Linked DNA regions of Mus musculus. The protein of the gene in region 1 interacts with the protein of each later gene in a pairwise test. Links are inferred from orthologs where the notes say so. Each region holds a gene or a part of one and is shown in the gene's direction. Other genes may lie near its edges. The genes, in order: Trim41, Meox2, Chd2, Zbtb8a, Top3b, Zbtb48 and Gpatch2l.

What was found.
Region 2: the proteins of Trim41 (region 1) and Meox2 interact in binary tests that used the Homo sapiens proteins (3 or more experiments, as listed by UniProt). The two-hybrid records come from large-scale screens. The link is inferred for Mus musculus from reciprocal best matches to the Homo sapiens genes TRIM41 and MEOX2.
Region 3: the proteins of Trim41 (region 1) and Chd2 interact in binary tests that used the Homo sapiens proteins (3 or more experiments, as listed by UniProt). The two-hybrid records come from large-scale screens. The link is inferred for Mus musculus from reciprocal best matches to the Homo sapiens genes TRIM41 and CHD2.
Region 4: the proteins of Trim41 (region 1) and Zbtb8a interact in binary tests that used the Homo sapiens proteins (3 or more experiments, as listed by UniProt). The two-hybrid records come from large-scale screens. The link is inferred for Mus musculus from reciprocal best matches to the Homo sapiens genes TRIM41 and ZBTB8A.
Region 5: the proteins of Trim41 (region 1) and Top3b interact in binary tests that used the Homo sapiens proteins (3 or more experiments, as listed by UniProt). The two-hybrid records come from large-scale screens. The link is inferred for Mus musculus from reciprocal best matches to the Homo sapiens genes TRIM41 and TOP3B.
Region 6: the proteins of Trim41 (region 1) and Zbtb48 interact in binary tests that used the Homo sapiens proteins (3 or more experiments, as listed by UniProt). The two-hybrid records come from large-scale screens. The link is inferred for Mus musculus from reciprocal best matches to the Homo sapiens genes TRIM41 and ZBTB48.
Region 7: the proteins of Trim41 (region 1) and Gpatch2l interact in binary tests that used the Homo sapiens proteins (3 or more experiments, as listed by UniProt). The two-hybrid records come from large-scale screens. The link is inferred for Mus musculus from reciprocal best matches to the Homo sapiens genes TRIM41 and GPATCH2L.

Annotation. Positions count from the first base shown.
Region 1 is NC_000077.6:48,807,392-48,810,891, reverse strand, and holds part of Trim41 (E3 ubiquitin-protein ligase TRIM41), read left to right. Parts: intron 1-1,611; coding exon 1,612-1,842; intron 1,843-2,404; coding exon 2,405-2,427; intron 2,428-2,534; coding exon of another isoform or gene 2,535-2,541; exon of another isoform or gene 2,542-2,620; intron 2,621-2,639; coding exon 2,640-2,767; intron 2,768-3,045; coding exon 3,046-3,500.
Region 2 is NC_000078.6:37,107,255-37,111,339, forward strand, and holds the start of Meox2 (homeobox protein MOX-2), read left to right. Parts: upstream 1-1,285; 5' UTR 1,286-1,576; coding exon 1,577-2,090; intron 2,091-4,085. UniProt on the Homo sapiens protein: Mesodermal transcription factor that plays a key role in somitogenesis and somitogenesis and limb muscle differentiation. Required during limb development for normal appendicular muscle formation and for the normal regulation of myogenic genes.
Region 3 is NC_000073.6:73,468,747-73,472,246, reverse strand, and holds part of Chd2 (chromodomain-helicase-DNA-binding protein 2), read left to right. Parts: intron 1-357; coding exon 358-450; intron 451-2,518; coding exon 2,519-2,689; intron 2,690-3,500. UniProt on the Homo sapiens protein: ATP-dependent chromatin-remodeling factor that specifically binds to the promoter of target genes, leading to chromatin remodeling, possibly by promoting deposition of histone H3.3.
Region 4 is NC_000070.6:129,375,229-129,379,461, reverse strand, and holds the start of Zbtb8a (zinc finger and BTB domain-containing protein 8A), read left to right. Parts: upstream 1-1,433; 5' UTR 1,434-1,722; intron 1,723-4,233. UniProt on the Homo sapiens protein: May be involved in transcriptional regulation.
Region 5 is NC_000082.6:16,869,486-16,873,535, forward strand, and holds the start of Top3b (DNA topoisomerase 3-beta-1), read left to right. Parts: upstream 1-1,250; 5' UTR 1,251-1,570; intron 1,571-4,050. UniProt on the Homo sapiens protein: Releases the supercoiling and torsional tension of DNA introduced during the DNA replication and transcription by transiently cleaving and rejoining one strand of the DNA duplex.
Region 6 is NC_000070.6:152,024,813-152,028,777, reverse strand, and holds the start of Zbtb48 (telomere zinc finger-associated protein), read left to right. Parts: upstream 1-1,165; 5' UTR 1,166-1,235; intron 1,236-1,241; exon of another isoform or gene 1,242-1,631; coding exon of another isoform or gene 1,632-1,721; coding exon 1,722-2,390; exon of another isoform or gene 2,391-2,559; intron 2,560-2,758; coding exon 2,759-3,000; intron 3,001-3,965. Other genes in the region: Tas1r1 (taste receptor type 1 member 1 precursor), read left to right, coding at 1-712. UniProt on the Homo sapiens protein: Plays a critical role in transcriptional regulation and chromatin remodeling. Acts as a regulator of telomere length. Directly binds the telomeric double-stranded 5'-TTAGGG-3' repeat.
Region 7 is NC_000078.6:86,286,858-86,289,362, forward strand, and holds part of Gpatch2l (G patch domain-containing protein 2-like), read left to right. Parts: intron 1-1,942; coding exon 1,943-2,118; 3' UTR 2,119-2,505.

The DNA of each region.
Region 1 (3,500 bases):
GGTAGTATTTCCATTGTATTGGGTGTTATGAGACATTTAAAATATATGGGAGAAAAAGGGATTATTTGCATATCTGCTGATTTGGGTCTCCTGGAAACAAACCCACTTGAATATCTAGGAGCAGCTATACCTATAAAATGTTTTACCTGTTGCCCTAAGTGTATAACATTTACTGTTTGCAACTTTACAGGAGTTTGCTGACTCCTAGTCTAGAGAACTTGAGTGACTGCTCTCTTCTGGTGACTGTGACTACTGAGAGTCAGGACTTAACTGTGTGGCATCTTCCTTTTGTGTTTTGAGAAAGGGTTTTATATTGTAGCCCAAGCTGGCCTCAGATGTGGAATAATTGACTTGCTTCAGTCTTGAAGAGTTTTGGCATTATATGCATGAGCCCTTATGTCTAAGTTCACTTCATATATTGCTTCCTGAGTTCTCTCATTTGGTAATTTCAAAAATTTCTTACCAAGTACCTACCTGTGGTTGGCACTGTGCCAGCCTCTGATGACACTGTGGTAAAGGATTATGCCGGTCCTATCTGTGGGAATATGTGGCATAGTAGAAGAGAAACTTAAAGGACACCACAAAGCTGGGCGGGTGGCTTATCTTTAAATTAAACTAGCAGAGGAGGTAGAGACAGGAAGATTGTGAGTTTTAAGTCAGCCAGGGCTACAGAGCAGGACTCTGTCTCAAAAACAAAACTTGACTGGCAAGATGGCTTTGTTGGTAAAGGTATCTGTCACCAAGCTTGCTAACCTGAATTTGATCCCTAGGACCAAGTTGGTGGAAGGAGAGAACCCACTCTTTGTTTTGTTTTTCGAGACAGGGTTTGTCTGTGTAGCCCTGGCTGTCCTGGAACTCACTCTGTAGACCAGGCTGGCCTTGAACTCAGAAGTCCGCCTGCCTTTGCCTCCCAAGTGTTGGGATTAAAGGCGTGCGCCACCACTGCCCTTCGAGAACCCACTCTTGCAAGTTGTCCTCTGATCTTTACATGTGTCCCCACTCCTGTCTGTATTCTAACATAGCATTTCCAATACCATACACTATGGAGATATAGTCAGAAATACAGAGTTGGTAGTACAGAAATCTGGAGAGGAGAGATTTTTCATGTCCTTTGGAACATGAAAGTTTCCATCTGAAAAGCAAGTTAGGTAGACAGGGAAGAGCTAAGTATTCCAGAAAGCAGTTGGTGAATGTGAAGCAGGATGCAGGAGTTGGCCTATCTCAGGGTCAATAAGACTGAGACGGGGGAGGAGACTTCTCTTCCCGTTCCCAGGACACGTTGGAGTTAGGGAGCGTGAGACTCCTTTGCCTGAGATTGAGAGGCAACAGACAGAAAAGGTCAAGTTTACCTTTTTGTGTATTCATTCAGGTGGTAGCCTCTATTCCCATTGCAACTCTCCTTTTTTAAATCTTAGTGTATGGATGTTTTGCTTGCATGTATGTATATGTATGCAAATATGTTCATTTGCCCTAGAGGCCAAAAGAGAGCATCAGATCTCCAGGAACTGGGGTTACAGATGGTTATGAGCTGCCATGTGGGTGCTGGGAATCATACTGGGTTCCTCTGGATCACAGAACTGTGTCTTCATGTCTGCCTTTGCATCTTTTCAGAGCCAGATGAAGTCAGAGCTGGCAGCTGTGGCCTCAGAGTTTGGGCGGCTAACAAGGTTTCTGGCTGAAGAGCAGGCAGGATTAGAGAGGCGCCTCCGGGAGATGCACGAAGCTCAGTTAGGACGTGCGGGAGCAGCAGCCAACCGCCTTGAAGAGCAGGCTGCCCAGCTGAGCCGCTTGCTTGCTGAAGCCCAAGAACGGAGCCAACAGGGGGGCCTGCGGCTACTGCAAGTGAGCGTTGTTCCCCTTTGCCCTGATCCACTCTCCTGCTTCCTCTCTGTTCCATTAGGCAGTTTCTCTCCAGCTACTGCAGAACTGCCTGTACCTCGAACAAGACTTTTTTTTTAAAAAGCTGGTGACAGTATTGAGTATGTGTGTGGCAATCATACCTACCTAAAGAATGCAAATTCGGTTGTTTAAATTAGGGGGTTAGGAGTTGAAAGAAAGCCCGGTGTGGTGGCACACGCCTTTAGTCCCAGCACTTGGGAGGCAGAGGCAGGTGGATTTCTGAGTTCGAGGCCAGCCAGGGCTACACAGATAAACCCTGTCTCAAAAAACAAAAAAAAAAAAACTAGTAATAGCATTCTGATAGTTTCTGGTAGGATGATTAAGTCTTTGTGGTAGTTATGGTAGTTGAGAAATATTCTTGTTTATTGTGAGCCTGGAAGGTGCTGCTTTCTCCCTTCCTGTTCACATTCAGACCTTTCTCTGCTGAAGAGAGCAGTGACCCCTGTGTAGCTGACACTTTCTTTCTCTTTTTCCCTTTCCCTCTTTTTGTCTCTGTTATTCCCAGGACATCAAGGAGACTTTCAATAGGTGTGTTCCCACTCTACCCTTTGTAACCTAGTAGTGTCTGGTTCCCCATTTCTGCTTCTCTGAGACTTCCTTTCCTTTTCCCCTCCCCTCCCACCCTCTCTCCCCAGAACCTAAGTTTCTGCTTCTCAGACCCTCTGCTCCTTCCCCTTAGCTATCATTCTTCACTCTGGGAATATCATGCTCCCACCCCCTACCTGGTCCCCCTCCTCCAGGTGTGAAGAGATACAGTTGCAGCCCCCAGAGATTTGGTCCCCTGACCCATGCCAACCCCATAGCCACGACTTCCTGACAGACGCCATCGTGAGGAAAATGAGCCGCATGTTTTGTCAGGCTGCAAGAGGTAGGGAGGTTTTTGCCTTTCCTTTTGGCTTACTGGGATGGTGTAGACTACTGGAAGCTACTCTGAGGTTCAAGCCAAAAGTTGCTTCCATGATAGCCCAGCTAAGTTTTGGATGAGATGGAAAGTCAGGGACAGGCCAGCAGGTGTTAGAATTAGGGTGAAGGTTAGAACCCATAGTTCTTGAACTTGACTTCTAACATAGGGTGGGAACTAAGAAGATGGGGTAGGATGGTGTGATGGGAAGCTGTTTTAACTCTTTTTGTATGTCTCTTTCCAAGTGGACCTGACACTGGACCCTGACACAGCTCACCCAGCTCTGCTGCTGTCCCCTGATCGCCGTGGAGTCCGCTTGGCAGAACGTCGGCAGGAGGTTCCTGAACATTCCAAGCGCTTCTCAGCTGACTGCTGTGTACTAGGGGCCCAGGGCTTCCGCTCTGGCCGGCACTACTGGGAGGTAGAGGTGGGTGGGAGGCGAGGCTGGGCAGTGGGTGCTGCCCGTGAATCAACCCATCATAAAGAAAAAGTGGGCTCTGGGGGGTCCTCTGTTAGCAGTGGGGATGCCAGCTCCTCACGCCATCATCATCGCCGCCGCCGGCTCCATCTGCCTCAGCAGCTCCTACTCCAGCGCGAAGTGTGGTGTGTGGGCACCCACGGCAAACGATACCAGGCACAGAGCTCAACAGAGCAGACACTGCTCAGCCCATGTGAGAAACCACGGCGCTTTGGCGTATAC
Region 2 (4,085 bases), on another chromosome or scaffold:
ATCCCCTTGGCAGACACTTCCTAGATAGGAACAGGCTTTCCTGCAGCCCACTCTCCCAAGCTTGTTGTGGGTTAAGGACAGGACTTCCAGTAGATTCTGTGGCCGCCCAAGCTAATTGCTGTGTCAACCCCAGCCCCTGCTCTCACAAATTCACTGGTGGCAAGGTGTGCAGTTAGTTCATTTCCAGGAGCACAGGCTGTAAACCTGGGGGAAATGAACCATGATAGCAGGGTCCACGCTGAGGGAATGTTAAGTTTGCTATCTGCTTAAAACAGAAAGGTGGTGAGGAATGGAATGTATGCAAGGAGCATTAGCTCTGTGAGCTAAAGAGAGATTTCATTTCTCAAAGGATGGGAGCGGGCTGTGAATTGGCTCCTGCAGGGTTAAGCTAGCTAGGAAGGGTGAAGCTGGGAGCAAGTTAGACTTGCTCATTTGACATTTTTTCGGGTTATTCTTGACCCCCCCCCTCCCAATTTCCTCGGTGAGCAAATGGTGAGAAAATTTCGCGAACTGGACTGGTAAAGAGAAGTAGGGGTGGGAAGAGGGTCAGAAAAAGAAGGAAGGGGGACACCACTTGGAGCAACACTTGTGTGTCGCCAAGGCGCCAGAGCCTACATCCACCTCTGTGTCGCGCACACCCCATTGTATATCTGTCCTTTCTGCACTCAGAGTAGCACTGTGCTAGCCTTGGTGCACAGCTCTACAACCTCCGCCCTGGCTCTAGGTTTTCTAACAATCTATTCTCAGATACCTAAAAGAGAATAAACCTAATGTGTTTACGCTGGAACCGTGAGTGGCCTCTGAGTTTGAAAAGCTCGACAGACTAGGCTCTTCTTCTCTTGAAAGTTCTCTTGAAAGTTCTCTGTGGTCTGCAAAGTCAGGGAGTAGTCAGGGAGCTCCTGCAGGTGACCCCAACCCCCACCAAGGCTGAGAGATCTAGGTTCCAAGAGCAGTGAGCTACTCAGAGACACTGTGTGCTGGCTTAGGGAAGCTGAGTGCCTCTGCGTCTGGCCATGGGAACCTATGGGACAGATTGCGGTGGCCCGGAGCGACTGAGGCTCTGGGAGCACCACTAGCTGTGGTGGAAGCTCCCAGGGCCCGACGGGCGGGCGTTGGGCAGCGGCTCCTGTCCTGCCAGCAATGGGAACTGGAAATGAGAGAGCACGGTGGCGCTGACTGAGCGGGAGTTTTGGAGGGAGTTTGCATGTGGTCAGCGCTGGGCTCCTAAGCCAGCCCCCAGCTCACATTACACTCTATTTATAACCTCTCAGAGCCATTTCCCCCTGAAAGCAGTTCTCTGGGACCACCTTCTTTTGGCTTCCACCTCTCCCACACTTGACATCTGAGCAGCTGCGAAGGAAGCTCCTCCAGGTCCTAGTGTTTATACGTGCAGGAGACTGGCCGCTAAGGCTCAGGACTGGGATTAGCCGGCTCTGCTCAAATGCAAACGCGCGCGGCTTTTACTTTTGGAGTGAGTGGGGGAAAGTCTTAGGATTTCCAGTGAAAAGTGACAGCGCTTGGTGGACATTCGGACCGTCCGTGAAGTCTTCTGCTTGGAAGCCGAAACTTGCATGCCATGGAACACCCCCTCTTTGGCTGCCTGCGCAGCCCCCACGCCACAGCGCAAGGCTTGCACCCCTTCTCCCAGTCTTCTCTGGCCCTCCATGGAAGATCTGACCACATGTCCTACCCCGAACTCTCCACATCTTCCTCGTCTTGCATAATCGCGGGATACCCCAACGAGGAGGGCATGTTTGCCAGCCAGCATCACAGGGGGCACCACCACCACCACCACCATCACCATCACCACCACCAGCAGCAGCAGCACCAGGCTCTGCAAAGCAACTGGCACCTCCCGCAGATGTCCTCTCCACCAAGCGCGGCCCGGCACAGCCTGTGCCTGCAGCCTGATTCGGGAGGGCCCCCGGAGCTGGGAAGCAGCCCTCCGGTCCTGTGTTCCAACTCATCTAGCCTGGGCTCCAGCACCCCTACCGGGGCCGCGTGCGCACCAGGGGATTATGGCCGTCAAGCGCTGTCACCCGCAGACGTAGAGAAGAGAAGTGGCAGCAAAAGGAAAAGCGACAGCTCAGGTGAGTGCGGGCAAAGCAACCCTGGGGAGAGTGCGCTCTGGGCTAGGAAGATGCGGGGAGGTGTGGGATGTTTCTCATAGAAAGACAAACTGTGAAGCTGCTAGCCTTTCCTCGCTCTGGTGGGCGAGTTCATCCATGGAGCGTCCGTCCTGTAATTCAGGAGCACGTGTTTCACTGAAGTTAATATATCTACATCCAGCCGTTCAAAGCCCTCCAAGATCGCAAATCAGTTTTCCAGAAGTGGTGAAGAAAGAGCAAGTGACACTATGCAAAATCGGTTAAGGGAGCGTGGCGGGTCCCTCCACGGGTTGGGAGGGGTGTGCCCATTGGGATGCTGCATCCGCTGGGCATGCATGCCTGCGTGCGTGTGTGCGTGCATGCGGGTTTCCTTGACTTTTCCCTTCCAATTCCCAACTCTGAACAACTCGACTTTTCCTATCCTTAACTGGGTTTCCAAATTATTGCGCAATGCCTTGAACTTTAACTGGATTTGACCAAATACGAGAAAAAGAAAAGGAAAGAAAAGAAAAGAAAAGAAAAGAAAAGAAGAGGAGGAAAAGAAAAAAGGAAGAAAACGGAAAAGGAAAGAAAAAGATAAGGAAAAATTAAAGAAAGAAAAAGAACAGAAACCTAAAACTTTTTTTTTAATATTTTTGCTTTCAGAGTTCCTTAAATAGCACCTTTCTTAAAATGATATTTAAAAAACAAACAACCCCTCCCCAAACATTCTATTTATTTGGCGAAAAAGTAATTATCTAGTAATCTAGAAGTGTTTAAGGAATACCTCTGAAAACTTTGAATAAAGAGTATTCTTATAGTAATTACACTCATATGGTGCTAACCTGGTTTGGGGGGGGGGGGGGGACGGGGACGGGAAACAAGCAAAAAGTCCAAATCAACCAACCAACCAAAACAAAATGTTTGAACTTCGACTGTGGAAAATAAAAGCCTTCATCAATTGAGTAGTGCTTTGAGATGCAGTGGAGAAAGTGGACAGATAACAGTCCTGACAGTGCTGGAAGAAGATGCAGGGAAGGTGTGGGTAACTTGAGCAGTCCTACAAAAGGGGAGCCTCCCAGAAGAATTCAGGGGCCTGGAAGTCCAATAGCCAGTGCATCCTGACAGCACAGAGAAACTAAAAATTTCCAGGAAACACAACAAAGCCCTTAAATACATTCCTCATTGTAAATGTTCTCTCTCTCTCTCTCTCTCTCTCTCTCTCTCTCTCTCTCTCTCTCTCTCTCTCCTTCCTTCCTTCCTTCCTTCCTTCTTTCCTTTCTTTCTTTCCTTCTTTTTTTCTTTATTGAATCTTCTATGTAGTTACAAGGCAACCTGGATACAGATTTAGAAAGACGTCACTTAACTAGTAAAATGTTTACATATATTACGTTTTCTGTGCTAGTGTCTCGAGAGAACATATAATTCTAGGCAATAGTTTGAAGAATTGAAAAATAATAGCATTTTAAACATTTTAGGCAAGGTGTTCTGCAGTGTAGGGCAGTAAGGGCTGTGTATTTTGTAATGTGTTGAAAGATGATAGAAATTTTTCTTGACCTCGGTGTGGGGTGACTCCTTGCTTCCCAGCCTCACTATTGAACCTGTAATTTTTCAGGTCCTGGGTGAACGATTAATGATGCTTCATCATGATTAGTTATGTCTAAGAACTCGGTCATCGCTGTTATTCTGTTTACTGGTTATCTCTAACTGTATGTGAAATCCTAAGATACCAAAAAGGTTCCTAAGAAGGCATCAGAACGCACTGGGTTTCCCCAGATTGGGCATTTATGAGCAGAAATGCATGGATTGCTTTGGCAGGTTGCTATCTACTTCAGGGAGGACCAGAAGCTCGGATTCCGTGTTTTCTTTCCGCAAGGGGGAAACTGCGCTGCTTCTTAGCTGAACCAATGCCCTAAAGATTATTTGCGCACACGAAGGAATTTTTTTTTTTTTTCAGGCACAAGTTATTTTTGGTTGGGGAAACAGGGAGAGTGAGAC
Region 3 (3,500 bases), on another chromosome or scaffold:
TATGAACATCTAAATTTTTTAGGAAAGATACTTTGTTAGAAATTTTTATAAACAAAGTAATTATTTGAAGGGATATGGCTTTTTAAAAAATTTTATTTCTTGCTAAGCTCAAAGCTTTTACAACACTAAATAGGATCAGATAAAACCTTGAAGGATTCTGTATCTCCCCATATTTTTCTTTCCTAGAATTCCCTGACTATAAATGAATAGCAGTGGGAAGTGTTGGGTTTGAAAGATGTGCCTGAGGCTGTGGAGTAGATAGAGTAGTAGGGAAGAGGCGTGCATGCACCTAAGGCTTGTAGTCCATGCGGAGACTGATGCTTTTCTCCTGTATCTCTGTTACTTTTGTTCCTTCAGGAAATGGATATAGATGAAATTTTGCGTTTAGCTGAAACCAGAGAGAATGAAGTGTCAACTAGTGCGACAGATGAGCTGCTCTCACAGTTTAAGGTATGATGAAGACCATGTGGGAGGAACCAGTCAACACTGACTTACTAACTAGAAGCTCCCTTCGTCTAGTCTCTGTGTTTGTACGAGGCTTGTTATTTCCTCCCTTACCTGAATTAACTCGTGCTAGTGTCGTTCTGAGTTCGGATGTTAGGACTGTAGTCTGCAGTGTTCCATGAGGGTAAGCACTGAAGTGAACCGTCCTTTCTAGAGTCACGGGCAGAGGAAAGGACATTGATGTATTGCCAACAGGATAAGCAAAAGACCAGAAGCATGGAGGCATATGAGCCATTCATGACATCAGATGCCAAGAGAAGTCAAAGGCATTGGAATTGTAGGGGAGAGTTGAGAGACTCCCCTACCTCATGGAGACAGGGTTTTTTCTGTATAGCCCTAGCTGTCCTAGAACTCATTCTCTAGACCAGGCTGGCCTCAAACTCAGAGATCTGCCTCCCAAGTGCTGGAATTAAAGGCATATGCCATCAGTACCTGGTTTACAGTTTTGGTTTTGGAGGGATATTCTCTTAGACCTTTTTTTTCCCCTCCCTATCCTTTATTGTTTACTCTCTTTTCCTTTTCTCTTGTCCTTCCCCTCCTAAAGGGTTGATAAAGGATAGTCATTAGTGTCTTATAAAAACATAAAAAAGGAATAGATCACCGCAGTGCCGAGGAGGGAGAGTTTGAGAATTAAGTCTGTGACTTGAGTTCTGCTGAGAGGCAGGAAGTCTTGGGACAGCTGTGAGTTAGAGTGCCTGTGGGGAGAAGTTGGTTGGGAGTGACATAAATCTAGGTGGTTTCTTTGCTGTGGAGCCACTCACCATGTGACTTTGTCCAGCCAGTACCTACTGTTAGGGAACCTGGGTCACTTGGCAATCCTAGGGTGGGAGATTGGTCTGGAGTCTGGAGGATAGTCAGGGTAGCAAGTGTTTCCAGAGTGCACGGGAGAGTTAAACATGTCAGGGAAAGTTGTTGGGTCTAGGAGACTGCTTACTTAGTGTCGAGGGAGAAGACCTGACTCTTCCAGGCTGTCCTTGTCCTTTACAACACGTGCAGTGACATGTGTGTGTACAAAATAAACAAGCTACTATCAAACCCCAGACTTAAACTTTTGTAAACAGCACAACTAGTTTTTGCAAAAATAATTGACAGTGAGATGGTTTGTTTTTAACGGTCTCAGAAATTATGCTTCTTCTTGAAATTTAAAAAATGTGATTGTAAGATCAAAATATTCTTACTGAAAATTGAAGAGTTAGTTTTAACTACACATCATAAAGTTTTGATTTGATTTTGTGTTACCTCCAAGTGACTTTGAGGAATGTAAACTGTAAAGGTCCATTTGTGCTCCAGCAGACTCTTAGGCCAAGAAGGAAGGAGTATAAAAGAGCGAGAAACTGGAACTGGGACTCTGCGCTGGCAGCACAGTCCGTAGGGAGCTGCCTGGTGTCTGAGTGCAGCCCGAGCCTGGGAGCTCCGTAGGGAGCTGCCTGGTGTCTGAGTGCAGCCCGAGCCTGGAGGCTTGCTGGTTTGCTCTCTTGGGGCACATACCGTTAGACTGCAGTTACCGCCAGCATTTGGTAGTGGACAAATGGTGTGTCTTCTAGACTAAGATGGGCTTTTGAGCACATACATACTTTGACTGGTTACACTTCTGATAAAGGTGAGTAAGGTGACAGGGTGACTGAGAGCTGGCTGCAGCTCATCATAGAGGGATGTGGGATCATCATGGATGATAATTAGGTGCCAAACATGTCCTACAGTCTAAGCCCGTGAAATTACCCAGGCAGTGCGATGCAAGTGAAATACACTTATTTCAGTAAAACTTACCAAACAGTTTTTAACCTTTCTATATCTATTTCCCTAATTTTAATAAAATTTTTGATGAACTGATAGCTTTGTTAAGTTGATTTGGGGGAAATAAAAAGGTGAGAATAGTAAAAAAATTATTTTGATTACATAATATTATGAGTCCTATTACAGCGTTCTAAATTAAAAATGTTCATTTAGCTGATACCTTGCAGATGGTGTTTGGAGGTTGAGAAATGTCAGACGGGGGTTGTCTTTTGTCTTTCAGGTTGCCAACTTTGCAACAATGGAAGATGAAGAGGAGCTAGAAGAGCGTCCTCACAAAGACTGGGATGAAATTATTCCCGAAGAGCAAAGGAAAAAAGTGGAGGAGGAAGAACGGCAGAAGGAGCTGGAAGAAATTTATATGCTGCCTCGGATTCGCAGTTCCACTAAAAAGGTGAGGTGAGAGGGAAGTTCACTTTCTGCCTGTCCTGAGTGACTGCACATATAGATTCGTCAGGGAGAACCCATGCACGGGAGAGGCCCTGAACAGGAGAGGCCCTGACACAGGAGAGGCCCTGACACAGGCCTGCTGGGCAGACACGAAGTAGCACGTGCAGGGCTCATAAGCACACCCTGGGCCCTTTTAGTTGGTCTTTGCTGATTGGTTTTTTTGAGAAATGACTGGAAGGGTTCCGAGTTTACAGAAGTTTTTACTTTGTCTTTGAGGTTAAAATTGTTGACAGTCCTGAAGACAATTAAGTCCATATTGCTGCTGTCCTCATGTTTCAGAGTGCCAAATTCTCTTTGTCCTTAACTGCTCACAGTACTGGGTCTCCGTAGGGAAAGCTAGCAAGCATGACTAGTACAGGGCCTCCACAGGCTGCACAGCTTATTCAGCCGTGCATAAGCACCATGGGATACAGTGTTACTGAAATAAGAACACACGTTTATTATCCAGTTTTCCGAGTTACTAGGCTTGCCTGCTGTCCTGTTAAATGAGCATTACCACAGGGTCAGCTGCTACTGCGTGGCACACAGTCCTGAGTGCATTTTTATTTCCTGCTTGTGAAAACCCTGTCTCAAAGGGAATGTCATATTTTCATCTTATTTTACAAAAGGAGAAAAAAAAGACAAGTCATTGCTTTCCTGTTTTATACTGGGTGTCTTATATATTACAGTATAAAATTAATCGGCTCTTTTAAATTCAGTACACTTAATAATTGCAAGGTCACTAAAAGTATGACAGTTTTCTCCCTGTTCCCTGA
Region 4 (4,233 bases), on another chromosome or scaffold:
AGAGGGCGTCAGATCTCATTATGGATGGTTGTGAGCCACCATGTGGTTGCTGGGATTCGAACTCGGGACCTTTGGAAGAGCAGTCAGTGCTCTTAACCGCTGAGCCATCTCACCAGCCCTGTCCTAGTGATTTTCAAATAAGCACTGGTCTACCTTTCCTTCCATTATCTCCCATTACCTCAAAAGTCCAGGAAACGAATCTTAATCACAGAGCACCCCTGGGGTAAACAGGTGTGACATTAAGAAACTGTTAGGTGTCAAACCTGGGACAAATAGCTGGGGTGCCTAGTTAACATGTCAAAGCTGACCTGGCCACCAGGTTCTCCCAGCATCCCTCAGTCCAATACCTGTTACAGGGTCCTCTAGGCTGGCATATCCGGCCCCCTAGCTTGAATCCTCCAGTCCAGGGGGCTGAGCTATTCTTCCCTATATAATCCAACCATTTTGGCTCCCTACCCTCTTTGTAATTTGGGTCTCCTGCTGTACTTGGTTCTGCTGCTCTCTCTCCTCCCTCCCCCACCCCACATCACAGGGCACAGCTCAGTTCACTCTGTACTCTCCCAGATGTTCCTGCCTCTGGCTGTGCTCTCCCACATATCTATAATAAACTTTCTCCTCCACTATACCTAGGACCAGGCATGTCCCTTTCCTTTTTATTTCTCCTTTTTTTTTTTTTTTCATTCAGAAATGACTGTATTGTATTCTCAGAGAGAATGATGTTCGAATACATAGTTACTTAGTGAGGAGATCGGAGAAATAGGACCCTGATGGGCTTGACTGAGGCTTGGGAGAGGAACGCCTCAAAATATTAAACGCATGCTTTGAGACTTTGAATCTTCTCCCCCATTCCGCATTACTTGACAATCAGCGTGAAGAAGTAGAAAACTAATTTAGTTTGTGGAATTTAAGCAGTATGAAAATTCAGCGGTTTACTATTTTAGGAAATGTATCACCTGATATTTGTGTGCCATAAATATTAGGGTCACGTCAGAAGAGAAACTTGATTTTACGACCAATTTTTATATTTGAAAACACGAAACACTGTTTTGTACTAGTTTTATATAAAGAATCACGGCCTCTTAATCTCAGCCCCTCCGGGCTTGCCTCTTCAAAGGGCTTGATGGGGACCTACAGAGGTTTCTAAAAGGCTATAACTGAAATTAAGTGCTTCGTCAAAGGGCGATTTTGTGGAACTCTCTCCCATTTTACGTCGCTAAACTTAAGTACAATAATGTCACATGTATACAGTATTTGTGGGCACGCCTAAGTCCCTCCCTCTCTCCTTGAACCAATATCTCCACATATTAGAAATCCAGCCCTTCTGCCCTCCGGAGGCGCCTTTCCCAACGTAAAGTACAATTTTAAAATTTAAGCTCCCGACTAAAAGAATGATCCCCAATCAACTGCTGGGGAACCTGGGCGCCCTAGTGCCTGCGGAGGGTGCAGTCGGGCGTGGGCACGGACAGGGGGAGTGGGCGAAGCTGCTGGTTGGTGCCTGAAATCTGTGCGTTGCCCCTTTAATTGTGTCCTCAGCCCTCGGGCGTTTCTGTCCAACGCCCACGTCAGCAAATACCTTTTGTTTCTCCCACGTTGGGGCTACTTGTTTTAGGGCGCAAAGCCTCGGCTTCGGAAAGGGGCTGCTTCCCCTACCCGGAACCGGGAATCGCTCCGCAGCGCGCGCGCGCGCGAGCGAGCGAGCGAGCGAGCGGCTAGAGCCCCGCGGTAAGTGGCTGCACGGGCGCGGGCGGGAGGAGGGCGGCCCGGGCGTCGGGGCTGCGGGCCGGGCCCAGAGCCTGGCGGAGGGCGGCGGAGCCGCCGGGGTGCGCCCCGGGACTGCAACCCCAGCCGGTGCGCCGGGCGACGCAGGGGGCACCCGGCGCCATTTGCAGCCGGGGGCGCAGAGCGGCGGCTCCGAGGGTCGGCGACGGCCACAAAGGAGACGCGGGCGGCGGCGGCGGCCCCGGGCGCGGCTGCGGGACAATGGCTGCACCGTCGCCGCCCGCGCCCGCCCCGCCGCCAGCCTTGGCCCGGCCCGGGGAAAGGCGGGAAGGCGCCCGAGCCTCCTGACGGCCGCGGCGGCGAGGCGGCGCCACGGGGCCGGGCGTGTCTGCAGACGTCGGGCGCGGGGCGCGGGGCGCTGCAGCCCGGCGGTCTCACTCCGCCCTCCACTCTCTGGTTTTCCATCACGACGCGACAGTTCTGGGCTTAGAACCGAGGGCAGAAATATGGAGCCCCAGCTGGCCCCGCGGCAGAATGTCCCTGGCATCTCCCACCTGGAGACACTGTCGGCTTTAGTCCCTTCGCGCTCTGGCGCGCTTACTCGCCCTTGACCGTGCGGTTATTCGTAATCCACGTCTTTGCGAGACGTGTTTGGAATAGGATTCACACCTAGCGGGCACCCAACCACACACGCCGCCAACACCTAGAAGTCTTTCTATTTGCAGAACTTTAGTAAATGGAGTGGTTTCACTTTGACGAAATATTGCACTTAATTTCTTATGAGACGGCTACGGGTTCCGGCTGTTTATTCTACCTAGCAAAGGGGAAAGGGGGAAAAATAAAACGCTAATGGTTAGGGAGTCTCATCCCTAGGCAGGGAGCTGAGACGTGGCAGCCCCCCAAGGCGCCCTGTTCTTGCAGCGTCCCGGAACAGTCTCCAAAGTACCAAAACCTTCGCTGATTTTATCACTTAAATCGCACTTTTATTTACCTATTTATTCTTTGTTTTAAAGCGGACTCAGGCTAGACTTGAAAATTTGATCTTACCTCCACCTCGGGAGGGCTGGGATGCACTAGGCAAATTTTTGGCACAATTATATACTTTTTAATATTCAAAGACGTTAATATAAGTTTTAAAACTCCTCTTTTAAAAAGCTATTTTATATATCTTTTTTTTGAAGGCACTGTTTCATGTACCCCAGGCTAGCCCTAAATCTTGGACCTCTGATTCTCTTGCAGCCCCTACCAAATGCTGGGATTACAGGCATAGATCACCACACCTGATATTATCCTGTACTTGAATTGAACCCATGCATGTCACATAGGCACTCTACCACTAAACCCAGCCCTCTCCAAACCTTAAATGGCTCCTTCACATCCTACTAAAAAAATAAAAAAATCCAAAACCCCCATGGTGTGTGTGTGTGTGTGTGTGTGGTGTGTGTGGTGTGTGTGCGTGTGGCGTGTGTGTGTGTGTGTGTGTGTGTGTGTGTGTGTGTGTGTGTGTATTTTGAACCCGGGCCTTGCATGGGCTAGGTAAATGTTACCATTGAGATACATCCCCAGGCCCCTTATTTTAAATTTTAATTTTATTATGAGATGAGGGTTTTCTCAGGGTTGCCTTGGTCTTACTTCTTCCTGCCCCGCCTCCCAAGACCCTGGGGTTAGCCGACATTACTGGCACACCACAGTGACCTCCTCTCCCCACCCATCCCTCCTCCATCTGTTCCTGTCCACCTCACGGCCTTTGCACCTGCTGTTTGGTTTGCCTGGAGTAGTTTCAAAGATACACATTCTTTCCTGCTATGGACACCAATCACTCAGATGTCATCTTCTCGGTGAGGCCTTTCCAAGTATAGTTTCAAAACTCGAGTCTCTCTCTATTTTTTTTTTTTTTTAGATTTATATATATATGTGTGTGTGTGTGTGTGTTGCCTGCCTTTGTGCCAGTATACCAAGTGCTTGCCTGGTGCCAGATGAGGGTGTTGAATCCCCTTACATGGATGTTAGAGATGGCTGTGAACCTCCATGTGGGTGCTGGGGATTGAACCCAGATCCTTGGAGAAACAGCCAGTGCTTTTAACTGCTGAGCCATCTACCCAGTCCCTCTTAAGTGTTCTAACATTTCATTCTAAGACTTTCCTATCTTAGACCCTGTAGACCATATGTGCTACTAAGATTACCGAAGGTCAGGTCACATAGAAGGAACAGATATTACTGGGCCGTGGCGTTGCATACCTTTAATCCCAGCAGAAGCAGGCAGATCTCTCTGTTTTGGAAGCCAGCCTGGTCAACAGATCAAGTTCCGGGCCAACCAGGGCTACATACACAGGGAATCCCTGTCTAGAAGAAAACAACAGAACAGATATTTACTTCTTGCACTGGTAGATGCTGGGAAGCACAAGATTATGGTGCCCTGTGTGGCTTCTTTCTGCTTCCCGGAAGGCACCTCTTCGTGGCATACATAATGAGGGTAAATACAGTGCTGTGCCTTCATTAGTAAAATGGGTAGAA
Region 5 (4,050 bases), on another chromosome or scaffold:
CTCCTTAAACCTAAGCCTCATATCAGACCCCAAATATGTGTGGGAGCAGTCACTGGGCCTCTTTAGATGTTCCTCTACCATATGTGAGCACACTAAATAAATCTCCTTCCTCTGCTTTTTAGTATTATCTCTTTTAATTACATTTTTATTTTCATTTCTTTTGTGTTCACATGGCCAGCTTGGCAGCCACTGTCTGCCTGCTGAGCCATCTTATAGGTTTCTTACTTGTCTCGTTGACAAGTTGGGGCTGTCATAGCCAGTCTTGGTAACAAAAGGATGGCTTAAAAACATAAGTTTGAGGCCAGCCTGGGTCCACAGTGAGTTCCAGTGAGTTCCAGGATGGCCTTGGCTACATAATGAGACAATCTGAATATATACATACATATATATATATATATATTTTTTTTTTTTTTTAAGACAGGATCCCACTATTTTGCTCTGGCTGGCTATTCTGGAACTCAATGTGCAGATGAGGCTGGCCTCGAACTCACTGAAATCTGCCTTTCTCTGCCTCCCAAGTGCCGAGATCAAAGTTGTGAGCCACCATACCAGGCTATTAAAAAACGGTATGCTAATAAAGTCATCAAAACTATTTTAAAACTTCCATAATTCTAATACTCTAAAAAAATTACATATTATCTTCCAGATACATTAACACAAGTAGTGTGGTCTTCAAAATTTTAAAAGGTGCTTTGTTTTGTTTTGTCTTGTATAGCCTATAGTCCCAAGCTGGAATGAAATTCACTATGTAGCCCTGAATGACCTCTAACTCGCTGTCTCAACCTTCTGATTGCTTGATTCCTGGTAAGAGCCACCATCCCGCTCACAGATGTTGCTAACACTGAAAAAGCCTGCTATCTGAAATGTTTAAATTATTTTAATTATTGGGCTGGTTAAGTGGTTAAGGACCTGGGTTCAATTCCCAGTACCCATATGGCAGCTCACAACTATCCCCAGTTCCAGGGAATTTGACACCCCCGCACGGATGTGCATATGCAAGCAAAACACCAATGCATATCAAATAAAAATAAACTTTACATTTTTATTTTAATCATTAATTGCATATTTTCATCAGTTCTCGTAATCATACTGACAATCGTCATTAATGTCTTCTCCGGATGATTTTTTGGAGACACAATGGAGACTTGGGGAGCCCCTGCTGCTCCCAACAGGAAGCAGACAGCAAGGCACCCGGAACTCACCAGCCTCGGAACTTGCAGACACCTTAGTGTCGACATCGGAGGGCAGATGAGGGGACGCCACAGACGGACAGAGCCGGAAGTGAGTTCGTGAGTGGCCACCGGGGAAAGCACAGCCGGAGCGAGAGGCGCAGCGGCACGGCGGGTGAGCAGTGGGATGCTGGCTGCTCGAGGAAGCGGAAGACGCTGGCTTTCCCCAGGCATTTCCGGAATGGTAGCAGCGCTCCGACCCGGGCGGGGGCGTGGGGGAGGGTCCTGCCCTGGCGCGGCTTTTTCGCCATCCAGCCCTCGCCGTGGGGCCTCTGGGCGGCGGTGGAGCCGCGTTTAGTGGGCAGTGGTCGCTTTTCCAACGAGCTCCCCGCGGCCCCGAGGTGAGACGTTTCCCCCTAGTTGAGGGTAGGGAAACCGGCTCAGGGAAGTTGTGCTGCCCACAGAGGCTCAGGCCTGCGGTTTGCGTTCTTATCCGAAGGTTCCACTCGCTGCCTCCCGGAGCCTGCTCTGTCTGGAGACCCAGGCTGTTCTCGGACTTGATCTCTGCAGATTAGGAGAAAACTTGGGTAAACCAATGAGCTAGAGTCGAGGGCCAGCTAGTTATGCATAGGGAAGAACGGATGACCTCTCTTAACCTATTTGGAACCCGGCCTTTGGGAACAGGACTGTGAAAAGCCAGGACGACTTGGATTTGATAGCCAGAGAAAGGGGGGAATTTTCACCGTTCGCCAAGGTCCCTTGTCGCTAGTCTGAATTGTTATGCACTGCGATTTATTCTGGCTTTTTAAACTAGGATGATGAGATGGCTCAGCGCTCTTACAACCAAGGTTCCGACCCCGGGAACTCACGTTGTAAAAAGAGAGAGCTGAATCCCACAATTTGTCTTCTGACCTGTGACCGGCAGCATGTGCGTGCCCATACATATCCACACACAAAATAACTGTTTATTTGTTTGTTTAACTTTAACTCCTATTTTATAGCAATGTTGGTAGACAGAGCTGCAGCATACTAGATACAAAGAAGGAGTTAAGAGACAGGCTTATTTTCCTGGATCTGTAGGTGATTAAAAGTCACTGAAGTGTTAAATTCTTAGATTTCCCATGCTTTGCTGACCCCTTTTGGGGCTCCTCAAGTTAAATCCACTACTACATAATACAAAAAGAAACCTCCATATTTACAGTGCTTTCCAAGGGACACTGATTAGTGAGGTGTGGCAAAGAATGGGCAGGTTGTCTTGCTATTCTCTCTTTGCAATCCACACCTAAATAGCCCTTTGCTTACCTAACTCCAGAATAGGACAAACTATAGTGTCAGAGCCTTGGCAGAAAAGACTTGGTATATCATGTAGGTTTATGTTAAGGAGTCTTATTTAAGTGATCATATATAAAAATTTTGGCTAGACATTTTGGTGTACTCCTGAATTCCCAGCACTCAGGAGTTGAAGATAGGAAGATCAAGGCCGTAGTGGCTATATAGTTAAGAGGCCAGCCTTGGCCACACAAGACGCTGTCTTTGCCCAATACACACACATACACACACACACACACACAGCAAAAGCTTAAGTGAATAGTGTTGTTTCAGAGTCACAAAGTGTGAGTGTGGTGTGTAGGTGATGCTTATAAGCCATCAAGTCCAGGTTTTCTCATTGGTTTTCACTTTGAAATGGAAGATGAGCCTTAATTAGGGAAGTCTTGACATTAATCACAGTTACAAAAGCTCTCTAGAGTAGAATCTGGTCTAGGTAAAGGGAAATGTTCCTGTCAAGGCCCTGGATTGTCTAGTTCTGTACCTTAAAAGAAGAAAAAAAAAATGTTTTAAACAGCTTATTGCTATGTAACTGAGTATAGCCTAAAACTCAAGCTTCCCCTGCCGCATCCAGCCTCGTGAAAGATGCAGTTACAGGTGTATGCCAGCATACTTGGCATTAGAAATCTTTTTTCTTCCTTTGAAATAGTGATAGAGCATTACAAAGTCCCCTTGTGCTGAAGTGCTAAAACTACTTACTTGTTTTGAGTCAAAGCTGAAGATAAATGTATATTCAAAGTGGACGGCAGCTGCATAGCCTGGCAAGTGGACGGCAGCTGAGAGCGAGTTGTGCCTTTCTATTACTGACCTTTACCTGGATATGTGACAGAGTCCGGCTAAGGCAGCGTGTCTGTGTCTGAAGGGACTTGTCAGTCTAGTCAATAATTTGGATCTTAGGTTGTAGAAGAGAAGAAGAGATACAAAATTCCCAAAACTTGGAAACCAGAGAGAAAGAATGCCTAGAAATAGAAGTGTTTGCTGGCAGTAACGTTAGGTGTTGCTGCTGTTGCTACTGCTGCTGCTGTTTTTAATGTGATGAGGTCTCACTGTGTAGCCCTGACTGTCCTGGAACTCACTGTATAGACCAGGCTGCCTTCAAACTCATGCTAAGAGATCTACTTGCCTCCTACCAAACCCAACATAAAGTAAGTTTTTGGTTTGGTTTGGTTTGGTTTTGATTTTAATGATATATAAGCATATTATTAGTTTTACAGGTAAAACTGTTGTCATGTATTCAGAGATTCATTCAATTGTGTTTGCTCACCATCTACTACTTCCCATTAGAGTGAGAAAAAAAAGTCCCTGCTGTCACATAGCTAGCTTATTTTTCAGGAGCTATAAGGTAAGAACCCGATAGGAGTCTATATCAGGCTTAGTAAGTACTACAGGGCAATATAGCAAAAACATTCTTAGAGGCAACAGGATAGAGCACAGGTTCTAGAGCAAACAGGTTCAGGGTCAAATCCATGTCCTACAACTCCAGCTCTAGTGTGACCCATGTTCCCATTATAGAACAATATGATGACAGTGTCTCCATCCCAACCACAGTGGCAGG
Region 6 (3,965 bases), on another chromosome or scaffold:
CTTCCTCATGCTGGGTTCCTTGGTAGCTGGGAGTTGCAGCCTCTACAGCTTCTTCGGGAAGCCCACGGTGCCCGCGTGCTTGCTGCGTCAGCCCCTCTTTTCTCTCGGGTTTGCCATTTTCCTCTCCTGTCTGACAATCCGCTCCTTCCAACTGGTCATCATCTTCAAGTTTTCTACCAAGGTACCCACATTCTACCACACTTGGGCCCAAAACCATGGTGCCGGAATATTCGTCATTGTCAGCTCCACGGTCCATTTGTTCCTCTGTCTCACGTGGCTTGCAATGTGGACCCCACGGCCCACCAGGGAGTACCAGCGCTTCCCCCATCTGGTGATTCTTGAGTGCACAGAGGTCAACTCTGTGGGCTTCCTGGTGGCTTTCGCACACAACATCCTCCTCTCCATCAGCACCTTTGTCTGCAGCTACCTGGGTAAGGAACTGCCGGAGAACTATAACGAAGCCAAATGTGTCACCTTCAGCCTGCTCCTCCACTTCGTATCCTGGATCGCTTTCTTCACCATGTCCAGCATTTACCAGGGCAGCTACCTACCCGCGGTCAATGTGCTGGCAGGGCTGGCCACTCTGAGTGGCGGCTTCAGCGGCTATTTCCTCCCTAAATGCTACGTGATTCTCTGCCGTCCAGAACTCAACAACACAGAACACTTTCAGGCCTCCATCCAGGACTACACGAGGCGCTGCGGCACTACCTGATCCGCTGGGGCTGTTGAGAATGGGCAGATGAGATGGGCTGAAGGTGGCGGGTCGAGTGGGGCGGAGAGCTTGAGGTGTCTGGGAGAGCTCAGCCACGGCTTGCGATGTATAAGCACACAGAAGGATCCAGTGCAATAAAGACGTGAAACGTGTGTGTGTGGCTTCTTGGCTGCTATTCCGGTCTGGGGACAGCTTGGGACCGCACACCAACTAGCTGGAGTAGGAGCCTAGCGCCCAGCTTGGCGTTACTAGGCGACTCGGGACCCAGCGCGGTTGGATTTACCCTTGGTCCCGCCCCCTATGCTGCCCATTGGTCTCTTTCTGAGGCTCCGCCTTTGAGGCGGGACCCGAGGACATTGCGCCACGGAGGCGTCCGGTTCTTGCCTGCGCGCCTGTATGTCACATCCGGCGCGGCGGCGGTGGCGTCTCCGCGCTGTGGGCCGGGCAGTAGTTAGTCTTGTGGGCGGTGGAAGTGGTCTAGGCCGGAGCAGTGAAGCCGGTGTGAGCCGGGAGGACCGGCGGGGTGAGGAGGGTGCGGGAGGGAGGTGGAGAGCCGCCTCGGGCTCTCAGGAGCGTGTGGCCGCCGCCTTCCGCTTGCCGCCCGCCCGCGATGTGCAGGCGCGGCGTGGGCTTGGGTCACCTGTGCGCAGCCGCCGCCCTGCCCTACTGGCTGTCCGTTGGGTGCTCTACAGATCAGCTGTCGTCCACGCTGGTCTAGCCCCAAACTCTCATTTTCATTTTTTCCCCACCAGCACCCTATCCCGACTGCCCCTGTCCTGTCTCCCGCCATGCACTTCCTCTCCCGCTCTCTCCCCTCCGGCCAACCCATGCCGCTCCCCGCCCCCAAGACTCCACTCTGGCTGTGTACTCTGTGTGCACTTTCTAACCTTGACCCAAGCCTGCATCCCGACATGGGTGGATGTGCAAGTGTCCATCTCACTCTCGGTCCAAAAGGGCTTTTCCGATTGGGGCTGAGCAGAGGGGTCATGTTTGCCTTCCCTTTCAGATTATGGACGGTTCCTTCGTGCAGCACAGCGTGAGGGTTCTGCAGGAACTCAACAAGCAGCGCGAGAAGGGCCAGTATTGCGACGCCACACTGGACGTGGGGGGCCTGGTGTTCAAGGCGCACTGGAGTGTCCTGGCGTGTTGCAGCCATTTCTTCCAGAGAATCTACGGGGATGGCACAGGGGGCAGCGTTGTCCTCCCAGCGGGCTTTGCTGAGATTTTTGGCCTCCTGCTGGACTTTTTCTACACTGGCCACCTCGCCCTCACCTCAGGGAACAGGGATCAGGTACTCTTGGCAGCCAAAGAGTTGAGGGTGCCTGAGGCTGTGGAGCTATGTCAGAGCTTCCAGCCCCAAACCTCAGTGGGACAGGCACAGAGTGGACTGGGTCAACCTGCCTCCCAGGACGTGAAAAGCCACCTGAAGGAGCCGACAGACTTGGATGAGGAGGAAGTTTTCAGGACTCTGAGCCTGGCCTCCGTGGATCAGGAGCCCAGAGACACTGAGCAGCCCCAGCTGGGTACACCTGCTCAGAGCACCACGGCCTTCCTCTGTGGGAAACTCACGCAGGCTTTGAAGCCTTCTCCCTCAGAGGACAAAGAGTCTGAGGACTGCAAAGAGCCCCCAAGGCCCTTCGAGGCTGGAGGTGCCCCGCTGCAGGGCGAGAGCAATGAGGTACTGTTTTCAGGGAACTGGGGAGGCAAGCATAAGGGTAAAGACCGACACTTCGGGAGCAAACATGGGAAGCCAGTGGTCTCAGCTGACCTTCTGCGAGCTACACTTGTCCATGGTTGCCAGCTTCCTTGGGGTGGAGTGAGCGTCAGGGTTACAGGTATTTCCTTAGGTTAGTGATCCTGGCCAGCTCCCTGCTAACATAGCCACTATGCTCCAAGTCCAAGATTGCAGTCTCCTCTGGGCCCTGCAGGGAACTGTTGTCTCTGGTGAACGGACCATCTGGGGGTGGGGCTTATGTTGGAACTGAAGGCTGGGTCCTGCTGATACCTGGGTGACCCTACCCCCTCCTGCTGCCTCCTCTGCTCTAGTGGGAAGTGGTGGTCCAAGTGGAGGACGACAGGGACGGTGATTACGTATCTGAGCCTGAGACTGTGCTAACCAGAAGGAAGTCAAAAGTGATTAGAAAACCCTGTGCAGCCGAGCCAGCCCTGGGTGCGGGTTCTCTCACAGCCGAGCCCACTGACAGCAGAAAAGGTGCAGCCGTTCCGGTCGAATGTCCCACATGTCACAAAAAGTTCCTCAGCAAATATTACCTGAAAGTCCACAACAGGTAAATGCTCTGCTTGTTTTAATTTCCTTTTCCTATCTGCCCTTCCGTGTTGCAGCAGAGGGTCCTGTACTCCCCTCCTCCGGGCTCTGCGGGGCTGGGGATCCTAGGTCAGGCCCAGACAGTGGCTGGTCAGCATGCCACCTCTTCCTGTCTTTCTGTGATTGTGGGTTTGTGGATACCTGGTCAGTAGATTCTACCCACTGTGGAGTTTGACTGTGGGCAGGCCTCTGGCCCCTTCCTGAGCTGAAGCTGAGGTCTGATAGACAGTGTGGGCTGTGACAAGAGGCTGATGGAGAGGACGGAGGCTGCCTGTGTTTCTGGGGATGTTAGCTTTGTAGGTCAGTGATGTATAAGGAGCCATTTGTCCAACAGGGACCTTTTATGACTTGGAGGTTTGTCCTCTTGTTAGTTTTGTCAGGCTTTTTGTTTGTTTGTTTTTTGAGACAGGGTTTCTCTATGTAGCACTGGCTGCCCTATAATTCTCACTGTGTAGACCAGGCTGGCCTCCAATTCAGAGATCCACCTTCATCTGCCACCCAAGTGCTGGGATAAAAGCCATGTGCCACCATACCTGGCTTGTTTTGAGTTCAAATTACTTGAGATCCCATACCACATGCCAGGCATGGTGGTGTACACCTTTGATCTCAGCACTTAGGAGGCAGAGGTAGGCAGATCTCTGGGTATTGAGGTCAGCCTGGTCTACAGCCTGAGTTCCAGGACAGCCAGGGATACACAGAGAAGTCTTGTCTCGAAAAAACCAATGCCCTCCCAACACACCGAAAATAATAATAAAAGTGAGTGCTGTAGACACAGCCCCATCTCAGCTGCTAAGTAGACATACTAGTCTCCTGCAGTACCGAGCCAGGCTGTGTTGTCAGTGCGTCACTCTGGCAAGCCACTGGTGCTCACCTGGTGTAGGAGTGAGACCTGTTTGTCATGCCTGGGCTTTGGCCTTGGGGTAGATG
Region 7 (2,505 bases), on another chromosome or scaffold:
CATTTGATGGTGGTTTCAGAATCCAGACAAGACTTGACAGAGACACGGTAAGAGCCCTTGAGCATTCCTGGTGCCATGTCAAGTCCTACATCCTGTAGAAAAGCATACAGTTTCTCAAGATGGTCTTCATAAAACTGTCATGAGATTTGCCAACTCTGCTTCTTGGTTATATCATGTAAAGAGCAAAAGCAGAAAGTTTAAAATGTTTTAAAAATGTTACCATGTTGTGTGTATGGCTGTTTTGCTTGCTTATATGTCTGTGTACCATAGATATACAAAACTCACAGAAGTCAGAAGATGTTGGATACTCAGAAACTGGAGTTACTTAAGGTTGTGAGCCTCCATGTGGGGGCTGGGAATTGAACCCAGGTTCTCTGAAAAAGTAACCAGTGCTCTGAACTGCTGAACCCCTCTCCAGCCCCCAAACAGAGTTTCCTATGCTGCTGGTCAGAGTAGAACAGCCCAGATTTCCATGGCCAGGTGAATGAGCATCAAAACATGGTGTGTTCATACATGGGGTGCCATTTAGCTAAATTTGACTTTGTGACTGGCTGTTAGAAATGTGCCAAGGCTATCCACTTGGGTAGAATTACTGGATGGGAAAGAAAAAAAAATCTAAAATGTGCTGTATTTTAGTATATCTCAGTATATTTGTATTCTTGGCAGAGTGGGCACACGATGGGAGTGAGAGTGGTCTGTCATGATCCACTCAGGGGCATTTGGAAAGGTGAAGAAAGTAACGGCACATGGTGGGGTGCCGTTGGCGTTCAGTGGACTGGGTCCAGGGGGCACACAGCACAGCTCTGCATCAGCACTGGTTACCCAGTCCAGAGTGTCCCACCAAACTTCCTTAAAGTACTGTGCCTGATTCTATTTTCTTGTCGTATTTACTGGTAACTCCATCATATTGGGGGTCCAGTGTGCCAAGAAAACCATAGGGCTTCCAGCCCAATATTTGAGCGTGAATTGCTACTTTTGATCATTATTTTTTATTTTATTGTATTGTATTTTATTTATTTATTTTGGTTTTATGAGACAGGGTTTCTCTGTGTAGCCCTGGCTGTCCTGAAACTCACTCTGTAGACCAGGCTGGCCTCGAACTCAGAAATCCGCCTGCCTTTGCCTCTGGGATTTGAGTGCTGGGATTAAAGGCGTGCGCCACCACACCTGGCTGAATTGCTACTTTTGATCTACATAGTTTAGTTTCCTGATCCATAAAATGCAGATGACAGTGCCTACTTCTAAGAGTTTCCATTAAGAAATTAGGTCATGCAGGTAATGAATGCCACAGCTGTGATCCCAGTACTCAGGGGCTGAGGCAAGAAGACTGAGTTTGAAGCCATCTTGGGCTACTTCGTACGATGTTATTTTAAAAAAGAAACACACACACACACACACACACACACACACACACACACACACACATACCCAACATGGGGTGGGAGAGAAAGAGTGGGGGAGGGAGTCATGAGTGTCCAGTGCTTAGCAGAGCAGTGCCTGGTACATGTATGCTCCGTGGGTGAAATGTTTTGGGGTTTTCTGTATTGTAAATTTGTCCTAAGTGTTTTAAGTGAAGAAAACATTAACAGGTGATTAGGACATGAAATATAAAGATTAGCCACCGCCGCCGCCGCCTCTTCCTCCTCCTCTTCTTCTTCTTCCTCCTCCTCATCTTCTTCCTCCTCCTCCTTCATTTATTCATTTTATATATGTGAGTATGCTGTAGCTGTCTTCAAACACTCCAGAAGAGGGCATCAGATCTCATTACAGATGGTTGTGAGCCACCATAGGGTTGCTGGGATTTGAACTCAGGACCTGTGGAAGAGCAGTCAGTGCTCTTAACCACTGAGCCATCTCTCCATCTCCAGCCCCCAAGAAACTTATTTCTAGTGCTTCTTATCCTAACTTCTTACACTAACTCCTCTCCCTTCTTTTGTGACAGTGCACCCAGATGTTCTGGAGCCGGCCATCCCAGCTCAGAAGCCTCCTGACTCCGAGTGGTTGGACGGGACCTCTGCAGCAGAGAAAGCCACTGCCTTTCCTCCAGCCACGTTTTTCAAAATGCCACAGGAAAAGAATTCTGGCTGCAGCTCTAGCCCAGGAACCAATGGGTGTTGAAACTTTGTATTGTACAGTCTTAGTGTTCTGATTGGCAGTCTTGGGCCTAATGCCACAAGGACTGACTCCTCGTCACGCACAGCAGTTGCTCTTTCTTTGAGAAAATATTTGGGGAATCTTTTTTTGTAAAATATCAATTTTCCTTAAGTGGGTGGGGCACCCTCTGCTGTCCCCTTCCTTCGTTGCTCGCCCACCATTCACCTTCAGCTGCTGCCTTAGAGCTGCCTCTCCTTGGCAGCTGTGTCTTTGTTCCTGAAAATCTAGCAACAGCTTTTGCGTACCTTCTGTGTAGAGCTTTTCATGTCGCTGATGAAATCCTAAATTTGCAGCCAGTTGGAAACACGTTGCTGGATGGGATTGTGTCTGTGCAGTAAGGCTGGCCATCGA